Drosophila melanogaster: one gene and its partner. The protein of the gene in region 1 purifies or fractionates together with the protein of each later gene. This does not show direct contact. Each region holds a gene or a part of one and is shown on either strand. Other genes may lie near its edges. The genes, in order: mtd and HIP-R.

Region 1 (4,992 bases):
TCTTGGCAGCTGCTCTTGCAAATTTGGCACAATTTGGGCCACCGAATCGTAAATGTGTAATAAACATTTTATGATACCTAAACAGGGAATTTATTAAATCATCGATTGTCGACGGCCAGTCACAAAGTATTAGATGATAATCGAGAGTGCTCTCGTGGTCTCGAATATCTGAATGCGATTGGACGGACATCTCGAGTGCCTTTGTTTGAATTTCGGCGCACCGACAGGTATGTATACATATGTACATACCTATAAATACATATCTAGAGACTTATATTTATTTGTGTAATTATGACACTGTTTTCACGCCAACTTGAGCAAACAAACAGCAGTAAGGCTCTTTGTCCGGGCCAAGTAGAATTCGACGAAGTCAGGCACAGTGGGCAGGGGCAAACAAAAGACCATAAATAAATCACATGCGGAGACAACACGGCGAAAAGCAGCTCATAAAAGTACTCATGCTTGTATACTTAATTATTGAACAGGCAGATTTAAATATTCTGTCCTGCGACAAGCCTCCTTTTGGCAGCCATAATCATTGTGCAATAATGACACAACAGCTAAGTGACTCAGAGACTTCCTCGTTCAAATCGCGTGGACGTGTCACTTAAAATCAATAAAAGTTAAAACCAGATGCGGCTATGCGTAGATACAAAATGGGAATTTGCATTTCCGTGTTGGTTTTTAAAATTATTATTTCCAATTTACCCCCCTTGCTGCTCGTTTTAATTTTCCCACTTCCATTTCTCCCCATCGCTTCCTGACACTTTCAATTGATTTGCATAGTCAGTCAGTCGCACTTTTAGGTGGGCCACCCCACCTTTATTTTAGATAGTACTGACTTCTAAATACATATGTAGGTATATAATTTTGTACTCGCTGTGTACCACTATCTATAAGTCGGGCGACATCACGTGGCCCCAAAATTATGCACACCCAGCGGACATCGTGATAAATGGCTTTGTCAATAAATATTATACGAACGCTTTGTGCCGACTTGCGTCGAAATAGAAGCTGAAATGTTAATCCGCATTAATTATGCTATCAAGTGTTGATGGAGCGTATCACAACTTATAGATAGAAATGCATTACACGTTCTGGCCCAAAACCTCACCAGATATATTCTTGCACGCCCAGTTTTAGTGTACATGTGTCAGTGGTTGGGCTTAACATTTATTCTAATTATACCTTGTTTTTGCCTGCTCATTTTACGCATTTTTTGAGCTATTTATAAAAAACATAAACAAGCGCACGAGAGAGAAGACCAAAGCCATCGATTATCTCGAGTGGGGCTGCCTTCCACTTTTCCACTTTTCTCGTCGGAAAACCAAAGCATCCGCAACAGTCGCCTTTCAGTCTGCCGGATTTTCGAAACTGGTTTGGATCTACATAGATAGGTTGGGAGTTTGGAAACTTCTTTAGGTATCAATAATTATTAATAATAATTACTTATTTAAGCTTTTATCTTCTTGTAAGTATGTATGTATGGTAAGTATACGAAATTTAAGATATATAAAATGGATACAATGGTTAAATACTGGAAACCTGGTTTAACTACAGTACTATCATCACTGTTTTCTAGGGGCTTTCTTTCCATTTTGCTGTTCAAACCGAGAAGGCAAATGAGCTGAGCTTTTGGGAGGGGGAGCAGCAACTGTTACTGTTTTATTTGGGATGTACGAACACGAACGCGAGTGCATTGGTGTACGTGCAATCATGGCTTTTTGTGCCGTTGCCCGATAATTCTCCACGCAAATGGCATGGAAGGGCCATAGACAAAATCAGAAAATCCGAAGAAAAAATCAGAGACGCCGGCGACTTTAGTTTTTTTTTTCGTAGCCATAAGCAGTAAATGCTGCTTCTTCCTCGGCTTATTGCCAGTGTTGTTGTTTTACTGTGCTGATGACCTTAAATTAGGCGTAGGTCTTTGCTTTTGTGTTCGCCGTATTCGTCATTGTTGGCCAAGTTTTTTTTTCATTGGTTTCTTTTGACGTGGTCAGCTGTTTTTTATATTTTTTCTTTGCTGCTTCCAGTCGTCGTAAGCAATAATAGGCACTAACAAAAAGATATTTCACGAATGTCATGACCTGCAGCTGAGGAATATAATAAACTAAGTTGCTTCTATTTCGCAGCTGGAAAGGCAAGCCAAATAAGCGACGAACAAAGAAAAAGCCAAAAGAATCTGCGAATAATGCCGATTAGAACGGTTTACTAAGCCAAGCGACTAAAATAAAACCGTTCGCTTCACCAAGAATCCGAAAAAACCGCAAGCCGCGCCTAAAGCAATCGCAAAACAGAATGGCGAAGGAGAGAAGCAGAGAGACGAAATTAAAGCCAAGCTGGGCCAAAAATTAAATTGCAAGCGCAGCCATTAATTACGATTATTTTGCATCCATTACCATTTGCATCACAAATGGTTGCAAATATTTCTATACCTTTTTTTAATTTGTTGTCTTTCAACGAGGTTTGGCACAATTGCTTTCCTTTGATTGGTTAGTCACATTTCTCATTCGTATTGATTTCACAGTATTGGCACTCGCGTACACTTATATTTTCAATTATACTTGTATATTCTGTGGACATTTGTGGTTGAATTAGTATAATTATAATTACTTTTATGCACTCGGAATTTTTGGGAGTCCGAGACTCAGCGAAAATTTGGTCAATTGTGAGAATGCCCCGCGTAATTTACTTTAAATTAAATGCCTTGAAACATGTATGCTTTCGATTAATTGCTTGCTTGCAAGGGACTTTTTGAACTCAAATGACCTTAATGTTAAACTCAATTTTGACAGGGCGTTAAATTTAAGCCATTTAAAACAAAAGTGGGGGGCAATGTTATTTACAGTTGCATTAATATTTTTTGCAGAAAAATCTCGCTCTCACTTAAAAAACTCTCGTGTATATGCTGTTATAGCGAATTCCCGAGCACGGATGTTAAATTAAACAACTTAATATATTTCTTTCGCCAGGAAAACGGACACCAATGGCCGAATTGCAACGGACAATCGCCAAATGAAATGAGTGCAGAAAAATAATTTGCGGACTGCGTTGGTCGGCGTCGCACAAACAGTCGCACACGAGTCGAACATATTTTTAAAAATAATTTTACAATATTTATCGCCGATGCTCCACATACATATGTATGTAGTATATCTGTGCTATATCTTAGTATCAAGCACTGACTTTGAGCGCGCGCGTTCTGTTATTTGTGTTCCGTTTTCGTTTCGGCTGATTCCGATTTTGTGGGAGCTACTTGCGTTGCGTTCGGTGCAAATGGAAAACTTAAACTGATCGAATCGATCCACAAAAAAGTTGTCTGCTTACCGATGTTTAGACACATGTTGCCAGCGAGAGCACATGTTGCGGGGCAACATGCACGATACTCTAACTTTATGAAGCGAACAGAGTACATTTGTATAAATGTTACAAGCAATATGTCCATATGTCGTGTCTCGCGGGGCAGCCACATCCACATACACATACACATCCACATGTGCTGCAACAAACTCGTTTTTGTTTTTGTTGCAGGCCAAAAACCTAAACCTGCTTGAGTTTGGCTTATTTCCGTTTATTTCCACTTCCACTTGGCGATGTTTGGACACATGTTGCCAGCGAAACGTACGACTGCCGATTGATTTTAATACACTTTCCAGGAGTGTTGACACCATGGCAGAGGATCTTGAAAGATACTCTAACTTTATCACAGTTGAACAGTAGATAGACAGAGTAGATAAGTTACAAGTAATAAAATGTAACTAATTAAAATCGTTCAAATGGGTTCAGTTCGATTATTTAGTATTTGTAGCAGTGCTAGATACCATCTATATCATCATCTAATCCGAAAAGGGTATCAAAGTTTCGGTACGTTTCCCATTCGATTTGTTGCTTCTAATGCTGGGGCGCATGTGCAATGAACTTGTTTTGAATTGCAATTGCTATTATTTTTTGGAGGTTAGTCAGCTGCGGCGACTTTGTAATTTCATTTAAATTACTCATACGCCATGTGACGCCGCTGTAATTATTTGATTTCGCTCCCAGCTCCTCGGCGGCAAATGCATTTCCTCAACTTTAATGTAGGTCACTGTTGAGGGGGTGAAAGTGGTACAATTATCTGGCCAACCCCCTGCCACCTGTGTTTTTCACCTGACAAGGAAATTACCGCCAAGGCCGCAGCAATTGCCCAGAGAATTTGCCCTAAGGTGAACTGCATTTCAACGCGGAGAAACAGAAAAAATAGAATTTACAATCCGACCTTGGGCATTTCTTCCATTTAGCTTGCAACCTCTGACTTTTTCCTCTTTCTTTGCCTCATTTAAGACGCATGACTGGGCTCGAATTGCGAATTATGCAAATTTCAAAGTACGCAACTCGTCGAAATCAGAAAAAGTGCAACATCATTTAGCTGCCGCTCGTTCTCCGTCCCGTTCGCACCCTCCATCTTCACCCCCCCCCCCCCTCTGACTATTTACAGTTTTTCGGACTCGGACGATTACAATTTTCAGCCTTCAATATTATTACACAATCATAAATTGTCTGAACTAAAATGTAAATGTTTTGAATGCGCCTTGGGGGCCACTAAAAAACGCAATCGCATGTATTGCCAGCGCTATGACTAAATCTATGACTATGGTTATGCACATGGCTATACCTATGGCTAACGCTATGGCTATAAGCATAGCTTATCAGGGTCTCTAATCAAACCAGTCGCAGGTGAGGTAGGAATCATACAACACCACCTTCGCAAAGTGTAGAAGCAATTTCTAAGTTTTTGAATAATTCTAGTGGGTGAAGTTTAAGATATTTCGAAGTAAAGTATGAGGTAACCAATGTTACCAATCGGAGGTTTATCAACCTGTTTAAAGAATCTTGACTTTAAACAGCCAACTCATTGCTTTCAACACGAACTCAGCTCCGAATGTTAATTGGCTCTATGGCCATAAAGAATTGACAGTGTAGTGTTTTGGTTTTGCTATTGGCAAAAGTAAAGAC
Region 2 (5,228 bases), on another chromosome or scaffold:
GCGTAAATTGTATTAAATATTAATATCCAAGGCATATTAATAGAAATATATATACATATATAAAACCTGCAAAAAAAAAACATGAACTACCAAGCTAAATGTTTCAATAATATATAGATCTATATGTATGTAAAACCGATATGAAATCTGCCTACAGCCAGACAAAAAAAACCTTAAAGAGAAAGATCAGAAGAGGAACAGAAGAGTATGAGCGGGGAGTGAAAGATGCAAGATTCATCCAAAAGCGAAAAACATTTTTTTCTTAAGTCTACGCAAAACAAAATGAATGAAAAGTAACCCGAAATTAGTTTTTAGAGTATAAGTATAAAAAATGGAAAATATCGCGATAGAAAGAAACAAAAATGGACGCAGATAAGGACGGCAAGCAGAACAAGAGTAATAAAGCAGCGGCAAGAACTCCCTAAAAATAGCAAAGAGCATTGTAAATATTTATATAAATAATTTATGCCTAATTAAAGTTTAAATTAATGAAGAAAACCAGCAAAAAAACATAAAAAACCAGAAGAACCATTTCAGATTTGTATGCAAATTTGTATATGTACGTACTTTCCTTTAATTTTAGCCAATCAGTTTGTAAGATTAAATTTTTTTTTTGCATCTCTATAAAGAATAATGATATGAGGATAATGATTCCGATTTTTTTTTCCGTTTAATGTAACCGTTAGAATTAGCCCATAATGGTCGATATCTAAATGTGTGTGTATATCGATGTGATGTCATCGATTGTCGATAACGATTGGATGCGAGTGTGTGTTAATTTAATTTGATAAAAGATAAAGGAAAGCAAGGAATGTGAAGATAATGAAAGGAGATGCATAGAGAATGAGAGCGAATCTATCTATTATATAATTATGTAAAATGCACATCTTTAAATTATAAATTATACATATTTAAAAGGAAACTATTATTATTATTTTGATTACCATTATCATTATTTTTTATTATCACTTAACGGTTTCGGTTTGATCCACAGCGAAACCAACAACAACCAAGAAACAGAAACAACAAAAAGAGAAACAAAATAAACAAGCGAAATGTTTGATAAAAAAAACCACGAGATGTTTTAATTTATTTGTCTTTAATTCTTCGATTTTATTGAGTTTTTCATAGAGAAAGTTGTCACACTCAAGAACACACACGCAAGCGTATAAAGCTAAACAAATTAATACCTACTAAGTGTTTAAATAGTACTAAACGAATCAAAATATAAATACTTAAAAAGAAAAAAAAACGAAAATAAAAATAAAAACAGCAGCAGAAAAAAACGATGAGACAGTTGAGCAGACGAGAAAAACAAAGCCCATTAAATTATTTGTTGAGTATTTTATTAAAAAATAATTACGATAATAATTAAAAAGTTTAAATTGAACGAATTACGAAAAACAAACTGAATATACATATATGTGTGCATATATACATATATGTATGTATTATATATAAACAAATTATTTAATAGTTATGCTAAAAAATTATTTAAAGTGAACGGATATGAAAAATATTTGTATGCGTGCGAGCACGGAGAGAAGGGCACTCAGAATAGGCCATCGACACCACCCACTCCCTTCCGATACCCGAACATCACCACCAGTTTTCACCATTTTCTGACCCTTAACCCCTTCAACCAGACACACACCAAACACAAGAAAAGGCGAAGAAAGCCGAAAAAAAAACAATGCAAACACGAAATAGGCGGCGACGACAGAGATAAGCGCGAAGAAGATACTAAATCAATAAGTAAACATAAAAATTAATTAATAAATTAATTCCAAAACAAAATGAAAAAAGCTAAAAAAAAAACATCAAGAAAACAAAAGACAAAAGCAAACAAAAAACATGACGAAACATTGAAAATAAAAAAATACTAAAATGATTAACAGAAAACTGTTTTAATGTCAATGGGGGCAGACATAAACTTCTTCAGCAATAGTTATGGACTTAATTGTGGCTCATTACATTCTCGATCCTATGTGAATATATATGTATTTAGTTTTGGGGTATGTGGCGGAAAATGGCTGTTATCTTTTTAAAAGTTGTCACATTTTCCAGCACTATCGTACGCACAAAATACTGAAAAATACAAGAGCGAAGCGATAAATACCGTCGATTAATTCTCAGTACTTTTTCATGGTATTTATGCATACCAATCGATAGGGCAGAGCAAAAGTGGACGTAAAGCTAAGCAAATATTGCTTATTAATAATATTAATATATTAATATATCAGATCTGAAAACATCGAGACAAAACGGAATTCAGAAATGGCTTTCACAATGCAAACCGGGGATCTGAAGAAGCTGAAGTACTTCATCGACTTTGCGCTTGAGAATCCCACCTTCTTGAACATGCCGCAGCTGCAGTTCGTCAAAGATTTCGTGGAGAAGTTTGGTGGCACGGTGCCGCCTGGCCAATTCAACGGTGGCAGCGCCGGAGGGTAAGTTAACCGAACTATTTGACCAATTTTCAAAACAACACGATTGTATGATTTGCTCATCCCGCGGCTTGTTCTTCCAGCAAGTGCCCATTCGGCGGTGTTGCTGGTGCCAAGGCCAACGAGCCGGCCAATGCCCCCGAGGATAGCGAGGACGAAAAGTCCCTCTCCGATCCTGAGTCGGACGTGGAGCTGGACATGGAGGGTGAGTGTGCAAATTTTGCCGAGTCACGTGGTCATTGGGGGTCACAACCCTGGACTTTGATGCGTTGCTGTCGCAGTGCTGGCAGTTGCTTTATCTTATATCCTTTCGACACTGCAAACTTAGCGTTTACCCAAATTCGAATCCTGCAGTATTAATATATGTAATACGCCAATTAAAACTATGTATCTTCTATCCGTATTACTTCCGACGCCTTCAGGTGTGATCGAGGCGGACAGCGACCCCGCCCAACCCATGGGCAACTACAGCAAGAAGGCCACCGAAGAGGAGGTGGAGCAGGCGAGCGAGCTGCGCGCCCAGGCGGCCTCCGCTTACGGCCAGCAGAAGTTCGACGAGGCCATCGCCTTGTACACCAAGGCCATTGAACTGAGCCCGGGTAATGCCCTTTTCCACGCTAAGCGTGGTCAGGCCTTCCTCAAGCTGAAGAAGCCGAATGCCTGCATTCGGGACTGCGACGTGGCGCTGGAACTCAACTCGGATTTGGCGGCTGGCTACAAGTTCAGGGGACGCGCCCGTCGCCTCCTCGGAGATTTTGAGCTGGCTGCCCATGATTTGCGCCAAGCATGCAAGCTGGACTTTGACGAGGAGACAGACGAGTGGCTAAAGGAGGTCACTCCGAATGCCAAGAAAATCGAGCAGCATCGCTTGAAGCAGGAGCGTCGCCAGGCAGAGCGTAAGATCAAGGAACGCCAGCGGGATCAGAGGCGCGCACGTAAGGAGCAGGAAAAGCACAATGCCAGCTCTGGTGGATCATCTGGAGAATTTTCCGGTGGGAATCCTGGTAACGGAAATATGTCTGATATACTGGGCGCCATGTCAGATCCCGAGGTGTCAGCCGCCATTCAGGTTCGTGAATACTACTTTTCTATTTCTAATACAAATGCAGTAATCATATCGTTGTTATTTATTAACTTTCGTAGGACATTTTGTCAAATCCGGGTAACATCACAAAGTACGCGTCGAACCCGAAGATATACAACCTTATCAAGAAGATTGTGCCCGGTGGAGATGTGGGTGCTGCCTTTGGCCAAGCGGGTGAAAAGGCTGGAAAGCCGAGCGAGCCTAAGCCTAAAAAGGACTCCGCCGACTTCGTCGATGACGGTTTGGACTAAGGTTTAGAAATGGGGCAGTAGTAAGACTGAAACATGCGTCGATAAAAAGAAGTTAACAACCAATTACACGAAATCGAGCGAGATTACAAAACAACAAAGAAAGAGAAAGCAACAGAGTGCGGTGAAGAAGATGGACTACACGAAAAACAAAAGGGAAAGCGGCTGCCTTACACATTTTTGCAGCTGAGAAAAAACAAACATTTCCTAAGCTTTAACTTAACCAACACGTAAAAGAACGGGCGACAATGGAGAAAATTCAAATATTCAAAATACTACAAGCAGTCAGAAGAATAAGCAACATTTATTTAAATCGAGAAGAAAGAGATGTTGGAGATGCTGGAGACGCTTCTTCACATATTATTGAAAAGCATACTTGCGGCCATTAAAGTGGCAAATGAAACTATACAAAGGAGCTAGAATATGCTTAAAAACTTATCACATTTGCAGTTCACAGGTAAATCAAAAGATTGTCCTGTGACGAACAAAACATAAATGTTTAGACGTCAAGTCAGATTCAAGGGTGCCGATCGATCTAGTTGAACTAAAGCTCGAGAAACAACCAAAAGAAAATAAAAAATATATATATGTTCAATAATATTAGCCTAAATTACCGAGAACGAAGAAACGGATAAAACTAATCGCATCATTTGGTCAAACAAAATTGTACTGAGTAGGATTTAAATCATATTGTAAGCAAATGCATTTAGCCCCCCAACATGAAAGCAATCGCCCATTCATTCACACACTCATTCACACACTCATTCAACCAGTGATCAATGGAAATAAATAAACGAATCAACAAGAACCCGAATTGCTAATGTCCATATTTTTTGGTAAACGGGTAAAAGGGGAGATACTTTTGCTTTTTTTTCGAGCGGGTTGGACAGATGGAGCCGTAGTCCCTTAAACTATCCGGCGCATCACCTGTGTGGGTTGCTCACTTTGTATGAAGGACATTGGGTACGCATGGTGTATGAAAGCGTCGATTAGACGCTTCAATGGCTGCACCCTGCACCCTGGATCCAGAACCTATCTACCGCACCCCGCCCCATGTCAGCGCGAAATTGGCTAACGGACAGCTTGGCGCACATGTTCGATTATGGCCAAATCGAGCGACCAAGCAGAACCAGCGGCACATGACCTGGGCTCAGCGATGCCAAGACCTGGGTGGTTGTACCTAGAGGTACTTGATTGCTTTTTAAACTCAGCTTGGTACAGCGTACACGACTGATTATTTAGAAGCTATGACAGCTTTCTTTGCTTTGATATTTTTCATATTTATATATAAATTATAAATATATATTTATAAGCAGGTGATATGGTTGAAACATATATCAACGAATATGTCAAATATAATACAGTGAAGTGTCTGCATTATTTTATTGTACCTGCGCCATCACAGGTACGGCTCCTCTTTCCATCGACTGCAGACGTACCGCTTATGTG

Evidence for each region.
Region 2: the proteins of mtd (region 1) and HIP-R purify together in Drosophila melanogaster (affinity purification with mass spectrometry, with the first as the bait; one large-scale study listed by BioGRID). This does not show direct contact.

What each region holds. Positions count from the first base shown.
Region 1 is NT_033777.3:5,320,553-5,325,544, forward strand, and holds the start of mtd (mustard), read right to left. Parts: upstream 3,296-4,992; 5' UTR 2,887-3,295; intron 2,574-2,886; 5' UTR 2,436-2,573; intron 1-2,435.
Region 2 is NC_004354.4:3,787,887-3,793,114, forward strand, and holds HIP-R (Hsc/Hsp70-interacting protein related), read left to right. Parts: upstream 1-2,082; 5' UTR 2,083-2,190; exon of another isoform or gene 2,191-2,243; 5' UTR 2,244-2,277; coding exon 2,278-2,450; intron 2,451-2,530; coding exon 2,531-2,652; intron 2,653-2,869; coding exon 2,870-3,516; intron 3,517-3,590; coding exon 3,591-3,782; 3' UTR 3,783-4,591; downstream 4,592-5,228. UniProt on the Drosophila melanogaster protein: One HIP oligomer binds the ATPase domains of at least two Hsc70 molecules dependent on activation of the Hsc70 ATPase by Hsp40. Stabilizes the ADP state of Hsc70 that has a high affinity for substrate protein.